Coturnix japonica: one gene and its partners. The protein of the gene in region 1 interacts with the protein of each later gene in a pairwise test. Links are inferred from orthologs where the notes say so. Each region holds a gene or a part of one and is shown on either strand. Other genes may lie near its edges.

Region 1 (5,345 bases):
AATGAGATGTCTATGAACAACTAGAACACAGAGATAAACAAATATACTGATGCTGAAAATGACAAATCCAGCTATGATCACAGACTGTCAGTAAGAAAACAAAGGGACCTAGGAGCAAAGTGAATGTGATGAGCAGTTAGAAACAAACATGCTTTAATATTTTAGAAGTTTGGATACTTCTGAAGATTTTTTCTAAACGATTCACACTTTGATGGCAGTTCAGCTACCTGTTATTACTCATTCCCAGCATTATTAGAGTCATACCACCTTGCGTTCAAAACCTCACAGTAAAAAATCAGCTTACGACAACCAAGGAGTAGATAAATTAGCAGTCAATAAGCCAAGATATCTGCGTGGTTGGTGAAAAACAGAACCACAGCTTCCCTTTTCAATAGGAAGGCACAGTCTGTGAGAACTTCTGGCACAAGACACAGCGCTCCATTAGAGCATGAATTAAGTCTTGTCTTCACACTAGACAGGAACTGAGCAGAGCATAATGAAGACTGTAATGTCCCCAAGATTCCCCTAAAGATGACAAATATCTCCTAGAAAAAGGTTAAGTTACATCATACTGCAGCTCATGCCTTCTTTGACTATATATCACAGAATTATCACAGAATTATCAAGGTTGGAAAAGACCTAGAATATCATCTAGTCCAACCATTACCAATACTTCCTGGCTAAATCATATTCCTCAGTGCCACATCCAAGCGTTTCTTGAACACTCCCATGGTCGGTGACTCCACCACCTCCCTGGGCAGTGCATTCCAATTCCTGACTACTCTTTCCGAAAAGTAATACTTCCTAATGTCCAGCCTGAATCTCCCCTGACGCAGCTTAAAACCATTCCCTCTAGTTCTAAACCATTCCCTCTAGTTTAAGCTATAACAACCAGCTGTCAGAGCAGCCCTGGCTTTAAGGAGCAGACCCACAAGGCAGCTAAAGACAGTCTTAGGAAACTAAGGAGACAACCTGGGTGCTTTGTCTGGTGCTACCCCAGGCAATCACATCAGACAATGTGTTCAAAAATATACGTAATGTTTTCAAGGAAATGGTATGTCTTTATACTTCACCTTTCTAGCAGTTGGAAAATACTTTCTAATTTCCACTTCATAATATTTCTGACCATTTAAATAAATTTATTTTCATGTTTTACTAAACTAGTTCTCTTCCTGCAGCTTATGCCCTTCATGTGCTTATAGAGGAAGAGTACACTGCTTCATTCCCTAGGTACTCTCAGCCTCCACTGTTAGAGAGGTCATTGTCATCCACATAGCCTTACTCTGCCATTTTCCATTTCTGAATTCCTATTATAAACAGAAGGCCAGACATTCAGACTTGGTGTAAGTACATCAAACATTTTCAATTTATAAAACAGAATACACATTTTCTACAAATATATATGAATGAACACATATATTATTTATATTTAATACTTATTAAAAATATATTTCTGAAATATCTTACTGTCTGGTTCCAGTTGACAGCGATTCTATTTGAATAACCGAAGAGAAAGACACACAGGAACACAAGGGACAGGAACCACGCAGTCACTGCTACGAACATCACCCATCCCTGCAGCAGAGGCAGTGGAACTTGTGTAGAAGCCACCAAAATCCAGACTATTGTTCCAAACAGCTGTAAGGAAAGGAAGACAGGTGATGAGCTGTGAAAGAACTTTCAGTTTTGTTCTCTCTGTCAAAGAATTAGCACTTTGTATCACAGATCAAGCCCTGAGATTGCTTTCAGAAACCTAGAGGAGGCACTTCAAGAGTACTCCTAGTGCTTGAAGAAGGGAGCTTATATAAACAGGAGGGAGAGCAACTCTTTAACATGGGCAGACAGCAATAGGATCTGGGGGAAGGGAGACTTTGATCAGATGTCAGAAGGAAATTCTTTACTCAGAGGGTGGTGAGGTGCTGGCACAGCTGCCCAGAGAAGCTGTGGTGCCCCATCCCTGGAGGTGCTCAAGGCCAGGTTGGATGGGGCCCTGGGCAGCCTGATCCAGTTGGTGGCAGCTCTGCCCATAGCACAGGGTAAAAACTAGATGATCTATGAGGTACCTTCCAACACAAGCCATTCTATGGCTCTGTGATCTTCTAAGAGCCCAACTGCTGTTCTCACTAACTGTAGGCATTAGGCACTGGCTTGACAAAGCCTTTCTTAAAGTAGCCTTGAAAATGGGATTGGCAAACTCAAGTAATTTCTGTGCTGTTGCTGAAAATTTTACCATATATATGCACACACTGAAGTTCGCATGATAGGGATACGCATCATATTTGGATTCAATCCCATACTATTTAGTTTTGTAGCTGTAATCAGATAAGACAAAGGAGATGAAACGGCATCGTCTTTTTTAATGCATTGGCAGATTCAGAGAACTTTCATCGAATGCAGGTTGGAAGGGAGACATCTTCCAACAGATGCCTGCAATAACATTAGTTGTAATCAGTGACAAAATTAGTTGGGTCCTCCCTAGCGTTACATTGCAGCTGTATGAATGTAACACGCATGGCCAGCCTCAGCTCGGAACTCCCAGCAGTTTCAGGCCTTCAGGTTGCTCGTGGGGTTCCATTTTTAGCCAATGTGTAGAACCAACCTTCCTCCAGTTCCACAAGACTGCAGGTGCGGCTCTGTTACGTACAGACCTGATAGTACACGCTAAATGCACTTGTAGGAGTTCGCACAGAACCCATAACACGAACTTTTCAGGGCACACACACACACACACAGCCGCCCTGGGCACGGCTCCGGGCACGGCTCCATCTTTCCCCACACGGCCGCTCACAAAATGGCAGGTGAGGCGCAGCGCGGCCGCCCTCGCTGTGGGCGAGACGGCGGCAGGTGGAGGGAGGGCGGCGGGTGTGGAGAGCAGGGAAACGCGAGAGACAAGGGGAGAACGGGGCAGCCCGGCCCGCGCACTCACGATCTCCAGGAAGATGAAGGCTCCGGAATAGGTGCGCAGGATCTCCAAGCCGGAGGGCAGCGTGACCCGCGGTGGAGGGAAGTAGGCAGCGGGGTTGGGAGGCGGCGGCATGGACGAGGATCCTCTGGGCAACATGTCGCTGCTGCTGCCGAGCGCAGCCAGAACGCGGAGCCGCGGGCAGGTGGGCGAGGAGGAGGAGGAAGGAGGGAGGAGGGAACAGGTGCGGGCGGGACTCGGCGCACCGCCCCGGCAGCCTCTCACTCTGCTGCCCTCCCCGCCCCGCGGCTGGACGGGCTGCCCCGCTGCGGGCTGTGCTGGGGAGCAGCTTGTTAAGCATCACACAGTTCGTGTTTGCCCACCCTCCCAGCCTGTCCAGGTCTCTGTGTAATGGGACTCTCCTTTCTGATGTGTCCATCTCACTACTCGGTTTAGCGTCATCAGCAGACATGGTGAGGATGCTGTCAATCCCAGCATCCAGATCATTTATGTAGATGTTGAACGTTGTGGGGCCCAGTGCTGATTCCTGGCATATCCCACTTGTGACAGGATGCCTGTGTAAGTAAAAGCACTCCTCTGAGTGCAGCCTGTTAGCCAGGTTCACATCCCACCTTGCAGACCACACATCCAATCTGTACCTTGCTAGTCTGTCTAGGAGAGGGGCTGTTGAAAATGAAGTACCTTGCTGATGTCCAGGGAAGCAATATCCACTGCTCACCCCCTGTGCTTAGAAGATGTCATTTTGTTCCAGAAGGTGATAAGGTTAGTCAGGCACAGTTTGCTTTTCTTAAATCCACGTTGGGTTTTCATGGTTGCCCGCTCCTTTTGGTTTGTAATTGTTTCTAGGAGGACTTGTTCCATTGCTTTCCCAGAGACTGAAGACTTAAGGTGTCCACTGTGATGTACTATTTCAGCCAATGTTACTACATGCAGTATTTCTGGATGTTCATCTTCAATGTCTTCATCTATGATAAAAAAGACTATGTTTTAAGGTTTCTTGAAAGCGCAGCTGCTCTGGAGGTTGAACCAGCAAGGGTGTTGCATTCCTTTCTTGTTAGATGCATGATGTTTCTCAGAGTTCTGCTTTGTGCAGAACACCTTAACCTGAGATGCCTGTCCTCCCACCTCAATCCAAAGTCTAGGTAGGGAAGCAGTCAACTCCTGTAAACACAACTCATCTGTGCTTATTGCACATCTAGAAGCAGTAATACTAGCTCAGCTTTGAGGAGGAAGAAGCATCAATTTGTATTTTATCATGTGCTCTCTCCTCATTGCTGCACTCCTTGTAGCTGGATGACTCACTCCTAAATGTACAAGATGTAGATCTCCATTCAGAGCCAGAGAAGCTTGGCCTCCTCTTTTCTGAGCAATCTATTCCATTGGTTATGAGATGAGAGAATTGATACTTACTGTACCTCGTCTGGGTAAATCTGAGAAATGAACACTGTGTTCCATTCATTTATCTTTAAGGATTCTAGGCTCTGGAGGTGCATGCCTACTTAAGTTCTGGTCTGGTTCTGTTTTGGAAGGCAATAGATTCAACCAGTGCCTAATTAACGAGGTGTAGGTGGTTCTTTCTTGGGATTGCATTCTGGAGAACATATGTCCAGTTAACTTCACAGTCTGGCCATAAATCTGCTGAGATTGCTCTGCACAGGGTGAAATGTGCGTGGGTGGAAATCTAGGTTGATGAGTTTATGATTTGGAACATGAAATGTGATTATGCTTATCATATAAAGAGCAAGTACAAATGACACTGGGTCATAAACATTTCTATCTTTGTTATCCAGCCATACAATCAATCAGCGTGGACTCCAGCAGCAAGGTTTTTTTTCATGATTACATACCATGTACAGTATTTTCTTTTTTTTTTCTTCCTTGTGAATACTGCTTGTTTTAATCTGCACTTTCCTTCTAACACTGACACTCTTCACTTTTAGTAGACTACCATAGGAATGTCTAAATGTCACTGTTAGATCCCTGGAGGTGTTCAAGGCCAAGCTGGATGGTGCCCTGGGCAATGTGAGTATGAGATATGGAAGTTGGCAGCCCCTGCCTGCTGCAGGGTGGTTGGAACTTGATGATTCTTGAGGTTTGCAAGGCAAACTACTGCTGCTATAAGTCCACCAGAGTCAAAAAGTAGATGGGAGTATGTTAACTCAGTCTACATAAAAATGTCTGTTTATACTGCCAAAGGGGCTAAAAACCTCTCTTAAAATATTAGATGAGTATAGGCTGAGCTTTCCCCTTGGTGTTCTTGAACTGCGTACTGTAGCCTAATGTAAAGTTGGGATTGTCATAGATCTGCAGATCTATCAGGTTGTTGGTAGCAAATCATTTTTCAAAATGAAGATAGAGCCTTGGTATTAATTTAGCTGAACTTCCTGCAAAGGCTGAGGAAGTTAAACAAATAATCTACAAG
Region 2 (5,205 bases), about 13 Mb from region 1:
ATATCCTCCAGGACCAGGTGACTTCTGACTCACACATAAATCTGCCCCTTATTAACGTTATATAAACTACGCTCTGCTGTGTTGGAGTCTGGATTTTATGTTATATAAATGTTAGTCGTGTCTCTGTATCTCTCCTCTTCGCAATGATCATGTACTTTCAACCCCCGTGCTATGTGCAGGGCTGCTAATCAACAGACCAGGCTGCCCAGAGCCACATGCAGCCTGGCCTTCAATGCCTGCAGGGATGGGGCATCCACAACCTCCTTGGGCAACCTGTTCCAGTGCTCACCACTCTCAATACAGAAATACGCATCCCAAGGGCAGCCCCACAGCTCGGCGCAGCGCGGCTCCCCCCTACCGGCCATACAAGCGCCAGTCAGGGCAGCGGCGGGGAGGCTGATGTAGCAGGAGCTGCGCTTCTTAGCGATCAAAAGTCATAACTGATCATGGGAATCTCCACAGAGTGGGACGAGCCGACAGATCGGAGCAAACGGGAACACGAGGCCACCACAGCGGCGATGCGGGGCGGCAGCGCGGCACTGAGGGCAGCACAACCCGCCCTCCTCGCCGCGCCCTCACCTGTCGGGGATCCATGGCCCCGGTGCCTCCAGCGCTGCCCGGCCGCCTCCGCGGCTGCTGCCGGAGCATCGGGGCGGCCGGCGTCTCCTCAGGCGGCATTCCGCTGCACCGCCGCCTCGCTGCCGTCAGCAGCCGCCATTGGGCGCCCGCCAGCGCTGCTGCCCGGCTCCAGCCCGGCGCCGCCATGTTGTCCCGCGTGGTGGGCGGGCACGAACTGTGACCCCTGTGGGCGCATGCGCCGGCCGCCATCTTAGAGGGGAGGGAGAGATGGCACCAGCGGCACCTGGCGGACGTGACTCTTCGAGCGCGGCCGATCGGCCCTGTGACCCACAGCAACACCACACAGACACTACGTTACACACATAATGGTTTTATTGAACTTCGGGCATGTAATTGAGCGTATATACACTGCAACTGACATGCTAATAAAGGCGGGGAACCTTTATTCTATACATCTGCAGCAGGTGAAGGAGCACAGATTTCACACACAGCTGTTTCAAAGCTGGTTTCCAGTTCTAAGAACAGCGATAAACACATTTTTTGCCAGAAATTATGATCTTACCCACATCTTGTGTCAGAAACAGAAAGCAGAATCTGCAGAGAACGATGGCATAAAGCAACAGGCGGGAGAGCAGCCCTCGGACACAGGGCACTGCCTTTAGGTGTTAACAGCATCAGTGCCCTGCTCCTACAGGGCCCTCACAGCTACAAACAGATGTGGCGTTTTATCAATGGCCAGGCTACAAGGAAAACAACATTAGCACTCGAAAGCAAGTTGATGCCTAAGAGAAAACCCACTTTCACGCCCAGACTTATCCTCACATTCCTGTTGGTGTAAATGTGACACTACTGTGTGAATTAAGATGACTCACAGCTGATCAGGAGATCCTAACAGTATATTTTCCCCCCAACATTTCATACAAAATGCAGTGTTGAAAGCATCAGCATCACTGAACTAAACCAGCACTAATAGGCATCTTGCTAACAGAGCCTTCCTAGTTGGGTAACCCACAGACAAGTCCCAAGTTCTAGATGTTATGCATTACCCCCACTCGCATCTCTTGGAAGCTTTTAACTCAATACATTCCCACACGGCTGTAAGCCTGATACAAATAACATGTTTAAAGCCTGCTGAAAGCCTTTCTTGAAGCTGTGAGTGTCCCTCCTAAGTCTGGTGTCCCATGCAGGCAACACGTAACTGAAATAATGAGAAGGGAGTGCAGTAGCAAGGTTCAGTTTGGCAGCAGTGGTAGATTCAAAATGATTAAGTTGAACAGTAGCTACAGATTCAAAAAGAATTATGTATCCACACGTATGTACAGTATAATTAACTTCTCCAAAGAGTTTTTCATCGCTGTATTTCAAAGGTTGCCTTCAAATAAGGGATAAGTCCTTTAAATGCTTGAAAGGCATAAAAATTCCCTTCCCCACGCAAAACCCCAAACAAGCAACGTATTTTAGTTTCAAAAATAATCTGAACCCACAACAAGCTTGGTATCAATTCATCTGTTACAACAGCTACGTGCTAAAGAAAAGCACATCTGGTGGAAAGAGCACAGAGGATGTTACAAGTGTGCTTGGTTCCTGCTTGCAGCATCTGGCAGTGGGTAGCAGGACAGAGGCAGGAATCTCAGTGCGTCTCCTCCTGTGTCTCTTCTGCAATCGTTTCTGTGGCACTGGCATTGGCAGCTGAGTTCAGAACTTCTCCAAAGTCCCCGCTGGCAGGTTTGCTTCCTCCAACTTTAGACTAAACCATAAGAAAGAGCCTCAGTATAAAATTGCAGTTATATGGCACACAGGTTAGCTGCACCTCTGCACAAAGCGGCTTAATAACCCTCTTCAGCTCAACTCTTCCAGGAGCGAGCTACATCTGAAGGTTATTTGGACAAGATCTTAATCATAAGCATAAGGATCTGGAATGGTTTTCAGTTGAGGCTGAGAGCTCATCTCCAGTTCCACAGTGAAACCCAGCAGCTATGATACTTTTACACGGCAACATGTTTACCTTTTTATTTCTCTGTGCAGTATGTACTGTGTACTGTGGTGTGAGCACTAGCAACACTCAGCTTGCTAGACAGCATTAGATCCACATGCTATTTTTTGCATGCTTCTCACCTAACCCAGTGTGCCCAAAAAAGTCAAACCCGAATCTCATTACATGTACTAGCAATTTTTAAAAGCCGAGTTTGCTTTTTGCTTTGTTTGCTTAATTTGGAGAAGCTACTTATAGTTATTTCCGGCATTTAAAGTTTTTCTAAGTCAATTCATTTTTACAAACACTGTCTGCAAAATCCAGGCACGAAGACCTTGCACATTTTATGACATTTGATGTCAGAAACAAGGCAAGCATCCCAAGCTGTGCTATGTATTTTCAATATATAACACTAGGTATGTTATACTAGCTGTCTGTGGAAGTTAGATACAGGTTAAGCCACCTGATTAAGGCATTTTCCACGTTTGTTTTCTTCTCAAGTCATTAGGCAGAGAAACTGTTTCCCCTGTGCTTAGGAAGACATCACCTAAGAACCCCTTGACAATTTACCAATAACTTTAAAATTCAAGCAAAAAAAAAAGTCACCCAGAGCTCACAAAGGTCTTTTCTCCACATTCACAGCTCCACAATCACCAAGTCACACTTACCTTCAAGGTTTCAACTTTTTCCTCAAAGGATTTGAAAGTAGGAGAATTTCTAGGGGACAAAAAGGAACCACAGAATTAAAAACACATCTAGTCAGCGTATAAACATCAGAGAACAAGCAAACAGTGGTTTTTTTCCAATGTCAACATGCATTTTGTTTGGGGCTTTTTCCTTATTTTTAAGGATAGCCCAAAATAGCTTATAACTGGATCTCTACTTATACTACAAAACTAAAATTCAACAGTCAAGCTGCAGCTCATTCACACCTTTTGCAGTTAGCAATTGCCAGTATCAACACTAGCTTCTTTAATGACAAAATGGAAGGGAAAATAGCAGGTTTGTGGCTTATGGGTTAGAACACTTTGCCATCCTGAATAAAACTTGGCTGAGTTGGGTTCTTTGGGGGATTTATTTTGCTTGGGTTTTTTTGCTTGTCATAGGAAAATAACTTTAACAGGTTGTGTGTTTAATTAACAGAACAGTTCACAGTGCTAACGTAAGTTTATGGAGACTCCCCTTTGCCTTTTAATTGCTAGAGACAGCTGTGATTATAAATGCACGAGAAGAGCAGGACAGCTCACAGTGTTCAATATTGAGGTTCAGTGTATTGTTATTACTAGGATCAAAAGAGTGCCTTAATACTCCAATTAGCTGCCACTGCTGCCTTCCAGTTTGTACAATAGCTCGTACAGTTTCCTGCCTCGTGTAGAGTGGCAAATGCTTGCCTTTGCTGGACCAAGACTAAATTTTTTACTTGCTTTCATAGACAGTTGTAACACCAAGCAACTGTCTTTTAAACTTCCAAAATATTACAGGTCTAACAAGAAGATAGAAGTTGTTACAGCTCTCTAAAGAGTAGGAAAGCACACTCAGTCGCATTCCAGGTGTGAAATACCATCACTGTTAAGCAGAAATAAATGTCACCCTACACATCAGTATATGAAATCCATTCATTTTTTATCTGTTAGTTAAATTCCTTTTTGATTCCACACTTGACAACAAATACACCCAACAGCTGGATTACGCATACGTTACCTCATAATAGGCATGCTAATCGAATGTTGTATGGAGCGTATACTAAATTGCCAGCATTAAGAAAAAAAGAAAGCAAGAAGTTAGTTGAAGTGACAGAGGAGAAACTGGCTTAGAAAGATGACTTACCGGACACCACCTTTGGTAAATAGTCATATAAAAACAGTTTAGGTTTGCTTTTTAAAATTGCTTAGCCATGCACACACGAGTACAACAGACCAAAAGCTGCAGCTCCTTCCTTTCCAAATGTATTCAGGTGCCATGCTTGTTAGTAACTACATACTCTTTATTTTCTTCTTTTTAGCTGCAGTCTGTCTACCTGTTAAGTCTTCCAAGCAATGAGACATGCTGCATTCACAGTTGTGATGATATCAAGTATAAAGCAAACACTTAAGAGTTATCGGTCAAGTCCTCCTACTCCAAGGATTAGCCCACTTTGTGTTCCCACTTCGATACAACACGTTTCACACTCATCAATATAAAATCAACTAACAGGAGAGAGCAGATCCACCCATCTATATTCAAAGGTTCTGGGTGGGGACAAGGAGAAAGTCCTAGTTCCAATGCTGATCTGAAACTCATGAAGATTTGTGTAACCTGCCAGTGTTGCCATACTGACAACATGTACCTATTCCTATTAAATGACTGGAGTTACACTAAGGAGCTCCCAGATAACTTCAAAGACCAACAGTTTAATGCGCTGAATGAAACACATGCTAACAAATTGCCTTAAGGTTGGGACCCCTTAAGGCAGATGCACATCTGAAGGATACTGTGGGTGCACAGTACTGGGAATCAGAATCACAGAGGCCAGTTGCTGTCCTGACACATCAGCAAGGTGCAGCCACGTTTTATCCCCTTACCCTACACCCCTTTTCTGCTGTTTTTCACCTTCACTGATGTTGCAGCTTCAGCCAAGTTGTTTTTAGAGCACACGTAGATGACAATCTCCACAA
Region 3 (4,549 bases), on another chromosome or scaffold:
CCCAGACCCAACCCATGCCTCCCCCAGCAGCAGAGTCTACTCACGGTTCTTGTGCTGGGGGCACACGTGGCACTTCCAAACCACAGTGCACCAGGCAATGAGGCCGAGCTGTGCCTGGCTGTGGGATGCACTGTGTGTCTGCCTGGCCTCTCCTCCACCTCTACCATGCCCCGGAGCACAAGGAGTATTGCCTAGCACAGGAGCACCAGGGCCATTGGTGTGCAGGGCTGTCCCTGCCAGCAGCTCTGCAAGTGAAAGGGGGAACAGCATCTCCCATGTGGGCAGCAGCCAATGCAGTGAGCACCAGGGCCTTGGTTATCAATGTCTAGTAGGGTTTTGGGGGCCAGATTCTGTGCTGCAAGAGGCCAAGTCCTGCTGCTTGCAGGCAGGTGACAAATCACAGGACACTGAGGGCTCTGTTGAGCCTGGTAGCAGTGCCTGACTGGCAGGGGGGAGCCGCTGCCTGCCTGCATCTCATGGGGCTGCCCAGGGTGGATCTGCCTGCACCAGGAGTCTGCTCTGCTTGCACTTCATCAGGCCGCAGTGTGGCCCTGGGAGCAGCAGCCCTGAGAGCACTGCAGTGTGGGGTGGGCAGCCTGGCCTGCATCCAAGCCCTGTGCTGAGCCTCACTGCTGTGCTGTGTTCCAGGCTCTGGGCTTCACCAGCCTCATCCCAGCCCACCGGTCGGAGGGGAGGAGGTTGTTCGCGGCATCGCTGTGGAGAAGTTTGACATTGTCAAGAAATGGGGCATCAACACATACAAGGTACGTCGCATCCCTGGCTGATCAATACATACAAGGTATGTCACATCTCTGGCTGTGCAGCAGGGCAGAGAACTTGGGCAGGGGACAAAGGAGCAGTGATGGATGGGGAGCACATCTCGGCACCAGTGCAGCAGCCCTACAGGGATGGGAAGGGACCAGGCCCTGACACCCCTTCCCTCTGCTCTGCCCGCAGTGCACCAAACAGCTGATCTCAGAGAGGTTTGGCCGGGGCTCCCGCACGGTGGACCTGGAGCTGGAGACACAGATTGAACTGCTCCGGGAGACAAAGCGCAAGTACGAGTGTGTGCTGCAGCTTGCACGGGCTCTCACCAACCACTTCTACAGCCTGGTGCAGACACAGCATGCCCTGGGGGATGCCTTTGCGGACCTCAGCCAGAAATCTCCTGAGCTGCAGGTATTCCTGGTGGGGCTGTGGGTTGTGCCTTGTCTCTGCTCTGCCTGGGGAGGAGACCCACAGTGACCCTGGGGTCTCTGCAGCACGGCCTGGGCAACGCTCTGCTGGTCAGCACCGCTGGGCACGTGAGGGAAAGCGGGAGGAGGCTGAGGGCAGGTGCACTGTGTGATTGCTGTGGGGCTGGGGAGAGGTGTGGGGCTTTTGCTGCTGGCTTTTCCTGGGCACAGCTGGAGCAAGGCTGGGTCTGGGCAGTTGGAGGAGGGCAGAGACACAACGGGATGTGCTGCCGCAGCCCCTCACCCACCTCCCTCCCTACTGCAGGAGGAGTTTGGTTACAACGCAGAAACACAGAAACTGCTTTGCAAGAATGGTGAAACACTACTGGGAGCTGTTAACTTCTTTGTATCCAGTATCAACACGCTGGTAAATAAGACCATGGAGGACACGCTCATGACAGTTAAGCAGTACGAGACAGCCAGGTAGGACGGCAGTGTGGCCCGCAGGTCTGGCTGCAGCTATTGGAAGGAGGGACTGCTCTGCAGCTCTTGACTTTTGCTGTCCCTGCGCAGGCTGGAGTATGATGCGTATCGCACAGACCTGGAGGAGCTGAGCATGGGCCCCCGGGATGCCAGCACCCTGTGCCGGCTGGATGCAGCGCAGAGCCAGTTCCAGAGCCACAAGGACAAGTATGAAAAGCTGCGAGCCGATGTGGCCATCAAGCTCAAGTTCTTGGAAGAGAACAAGGTGGGGAAGGCTGCGGGGCACAGGATGGGGCCCTGTCGTGCACGCGTGTCCCTTGGCCCTGCCTTGCAGGCTGCGCTGCCTTGCTGCTCTGTGCTCAAGGTGCGTTTTTGGGGAGCTGTGAGGGGAAGAGCAGGTGAGCTGCCACGCTCCTGCCTTCCACCCGCAGTGGGTGGTCACCTCCCAGCTGGCTGCTGCAGCTCTGTGCTGGGCAGACCTTGTCCTGGCCCATTCCTGCCGTCCCGAGGTGCTGGGCAGTGGGGCTGGGTGGCTGCGTGTTGACTCCTGCTCTCCCCAGATCAAGGTGATGCACAAGCAGCTCCTGCTCTTTCACAACGCCATTTCTGCCTACTTCGCTGGGAACCAGCAGCAGTTGGAGCAGACTCTCAAGCAGTTCAACATCAAGCTGAAGACCCCTGGTGCTGAGAAGCCCTCCTGGCTGGAGGAGCAGTGAGCCCCCCAGCCTGCCCCACCTTGTGCCCCAGCCGGGGAAGCCATGGACCATAACTGGGACCTCTGACTGCTGGTGTAGGGCCAGACCACAATCACGAGTGGTGAGCTGGGGATGCAGCCTCGGCCCTGCTGCTGCGGGGGGCACTAATGGGGCAGGGACCCGGTTAGGGGCAGGTGGAGCTCTGAGTGGGTCACTCCCCCAGCCCGTTGGAGTCCCATCCTGCCCAGCCCTGTTCTCCCTCCCCAGCGCTGACCCCTTGGTGGGATGGTGGATGCCTTCCCAGGACCCCGTAGGGCCAGACACTCCCCTCCTCAGGCTGGGCTGCTCAGACCCCACCAGGCACCTTTGTGGGACAGGGTGGGATGTGCCACAGCCCCCCACTGTCTCCCCATGGTGCAGCAGGGTACGTAGTTCCACGTGTCCCAGCTGCTTTCCCTGAGCCAGGCTTCGCAGGGCTGGGCAGGACGTGCCACCACCTCTGGCAAAAAAAATGTATATTTTGAAATGAAGACAAAGCTGCACAGGGGTGGCCCTGGGGCTGCTGGGTCCCCTCCTGGACCCTGAGAGGGGTGGATGAGGTCCCAGCCCTGGTGCAGCTGGTGCCCGGGGCTCCTGTCTGCTCCTTGCCCCAGACCTGCCCCGTCCCCTCTGGCTGATCCCTGGTGCTCCCAGGCAGCTGCTCTCGCACTCCCCCAGCCTGGCTGGTGCCCCCATCCCCACACTACACTCCCTTTGGCGATGGGGTGGTTGTGCCTGGCTGTCTCCCAGGCCGCAGCTCCCATCCCCTGGCCGGGGCTTTGCCAGCTCCCACGGGTGGACGCAGGAGGGTTTGGCCGCGGCCCTTGGGCTGAGGGCTGCTTTCCCCAGGGCGCTGTGCTCCCAACCCTGGAGGCAGGTGGGCAGCCCCACTCCCTGAGCACCCACAGGCACCTCGAGGGGTGGTGGGGACTCAAACCAAGGACCAAAGGGTGGCTGCATCCCAGGGACGGTGCATGTGCGTGTCCGTGTGCGCTGCGGCTGCGGCTGCGTCTCCGCGTGTGGCAGCGCTGGGGCCCTGCCCGGTATCCCAGCGTGGGGACAAGCTCATCCTGCTCCAGCTGAGTGTTGCTTCGAGCCCCGGCCACGTGCAGCACTTGGGCACTTTCTCCCGAGACAAGACGGTTTGTTTTTCTTGCTAATTTAATTCCTGGTAATTTAATGTCTGGATCTGACAACCTCCCCCCCCCCCTTTCCTGGTGAAGGCTGTAAGACTCCAGAATAAAACAGTATGGATCAGAATAAAGCAGTACAGATCAGAATAAAATAGTGTGGATCAGAATCTTGTGGTGTGGATCCCTCTGTGCACGGCACAGACAGACCTGAGACGGGGATTCCCTGCATGCCAATGGCTCCCCGAGGCCCAGAGCTGGTTCTGCTGCTGCAGTTCTTGTCCCACTTCTCCCTCTGTGGGTCTGGTTCCGTGTGGGGCCCAGCATCAGGGCTCGCCCTATTCCCCTGCCCACCCCAGGGTGCTGCTTTGGCTGTGGGTGCCGTGTGGCCGATGGAGCCCTGTAAGCACCGGGGATGAGGGGGACCAGAAGAGGGGAACGAATTGTGTTACCATCTCCAGCATCGAGCCGAGAGCGCCCTGGGTCGGTCTGACACCGGGTTTAACGCCATCAGCGGGAGCTTCGTAGCGCGGCGGAGCCCGAGGCTGGATGGGAGGAGCACAGAGGGGAGAACGGATCTCGGAGCAGGACGGGGGGAGCCGGGGGGGCTGTGACCGGGGGAGGGCGCGGGGCGTCCAGGTACCGTCGGGTGCGGGCGGCGGGAGCGGTGCCGGGTCGGTGTTTTGTCCCGGTCCGTCGCTGCCCGGCGCGAGGTGAGAACGGGCGGAGGGGCCCAGGAACGAGCTCGTGTCGAGGCCGCTGAGCCGCCCCGCTCCGCCGGGCTGGGACCGGGGCCGGTACTCGGGGGAGCGGCGGATCCTCCCGGGGCGGAGCCGAGGCGGGGCGGGGCCGTTCGGGGCCGTAAGAGGAGCCGGGCGGCCGCGCTCACCCCCCACCCCCCGCCCCGGCCATGGACTCGCAGCGCAGCCCCGCTCCTCCGCCGCCGCCGCCGCCGCCCCCGGCGCTGCCCTCCCCCCCAGCGGCCGCGCGGGGCGAGCGGCTGCGGGCGCTGCACTGGGAGCCGCTG

The links. The genes of interacting proteins can lie anywhere in the genome.
Region 2: the proteins of MAL2 (region 1) and TPD52 interact in a two-hybrid assay, tested with the Homo sapiens proteins (2 studies listed by BioGRID and IntAct). The link is inferred for Coturnix japonica from reciprocal best matches to the Homo sapiens genes MAL2 and TPD52.
Region 3: the proteins of MAL2 (region 1) and ARFIP2 interact in binary tests that used the Homo sapiens proteins (3 or more experiments, as listed by UniProt). The two-hybrid records come from large-scale screens. The link is inferred for Coturnix japonica from reciprocal best matches to the Homo sapiens genes MAL2 and ARFIP2.

The regions. Positions count from the first base shown.
Region 1 is NC_029517.1:122,946,768-122,952,112, reverse strand, and holds the start of MAL2 (protein MAL2), read right to left. Parts: upstream 3,231-5,345; 5' UTR 3,062-3,230; coding exon 2,927-3,061; intron 1,639-2,926; coding exon 1,468-1,638; intron 1-1,467. UniProt on the Homo sapiens protein: Member of the machinery of polarized transport. Required for the indirect transcytotic route at the step of the egress of the transcytosing cargo from perinuclear endosomes in order for it to travel to the apical surface via a raft-dependent pathway.
Region 2 is NC_029517.1:109,520,625-109,525,829, forward strand, and holds the end of TPD52 (tumor protein D52), read right to left. Parts: intron 4,295-5,205; coding exon 4,253-4,294; intron 3,269-4,252; coding exon 3,220-3,268; intron 2,327-3,219; coding exon 2,210-2,326; 3' UTR 934-2,209; downstream 1-933. Other genes in the region: MRPS28 (28S ribosomal protein S28, mitochondrial), read right to left, coding at 580-828.
Region 3 is NC_029516.1:174,021,706-174,026,254, forward strand, and holds the end of ARFIP2 (arfaptin-2), read left to right. Parts: intron 1-648; coding exon 649-764; intron 765-957; coding exon 958-1,179; intron 1,180-1,500; coding exon 1,501-1,658; intron 1,659-1,748; coding exon 1,749-1,923; intron 1,924-2,218; coding exon 2,219-2,374; 3' UTR 2,375-3,616; downstream 3,617-4,549. Other genes in the region: FH2 domain-containing protein 1-like, read left to right, coding at 4,433-4,549. UniProt on the Homo sapiens protein: Plays a role in constitutive metalloproteinase (MMP) secretion from the trans Golgi network. May have important functions during vesicle biogenesis at certain cargo subdomains, which could be predominantly utilized by secreted MMPs, such as MMP7 and MMP2.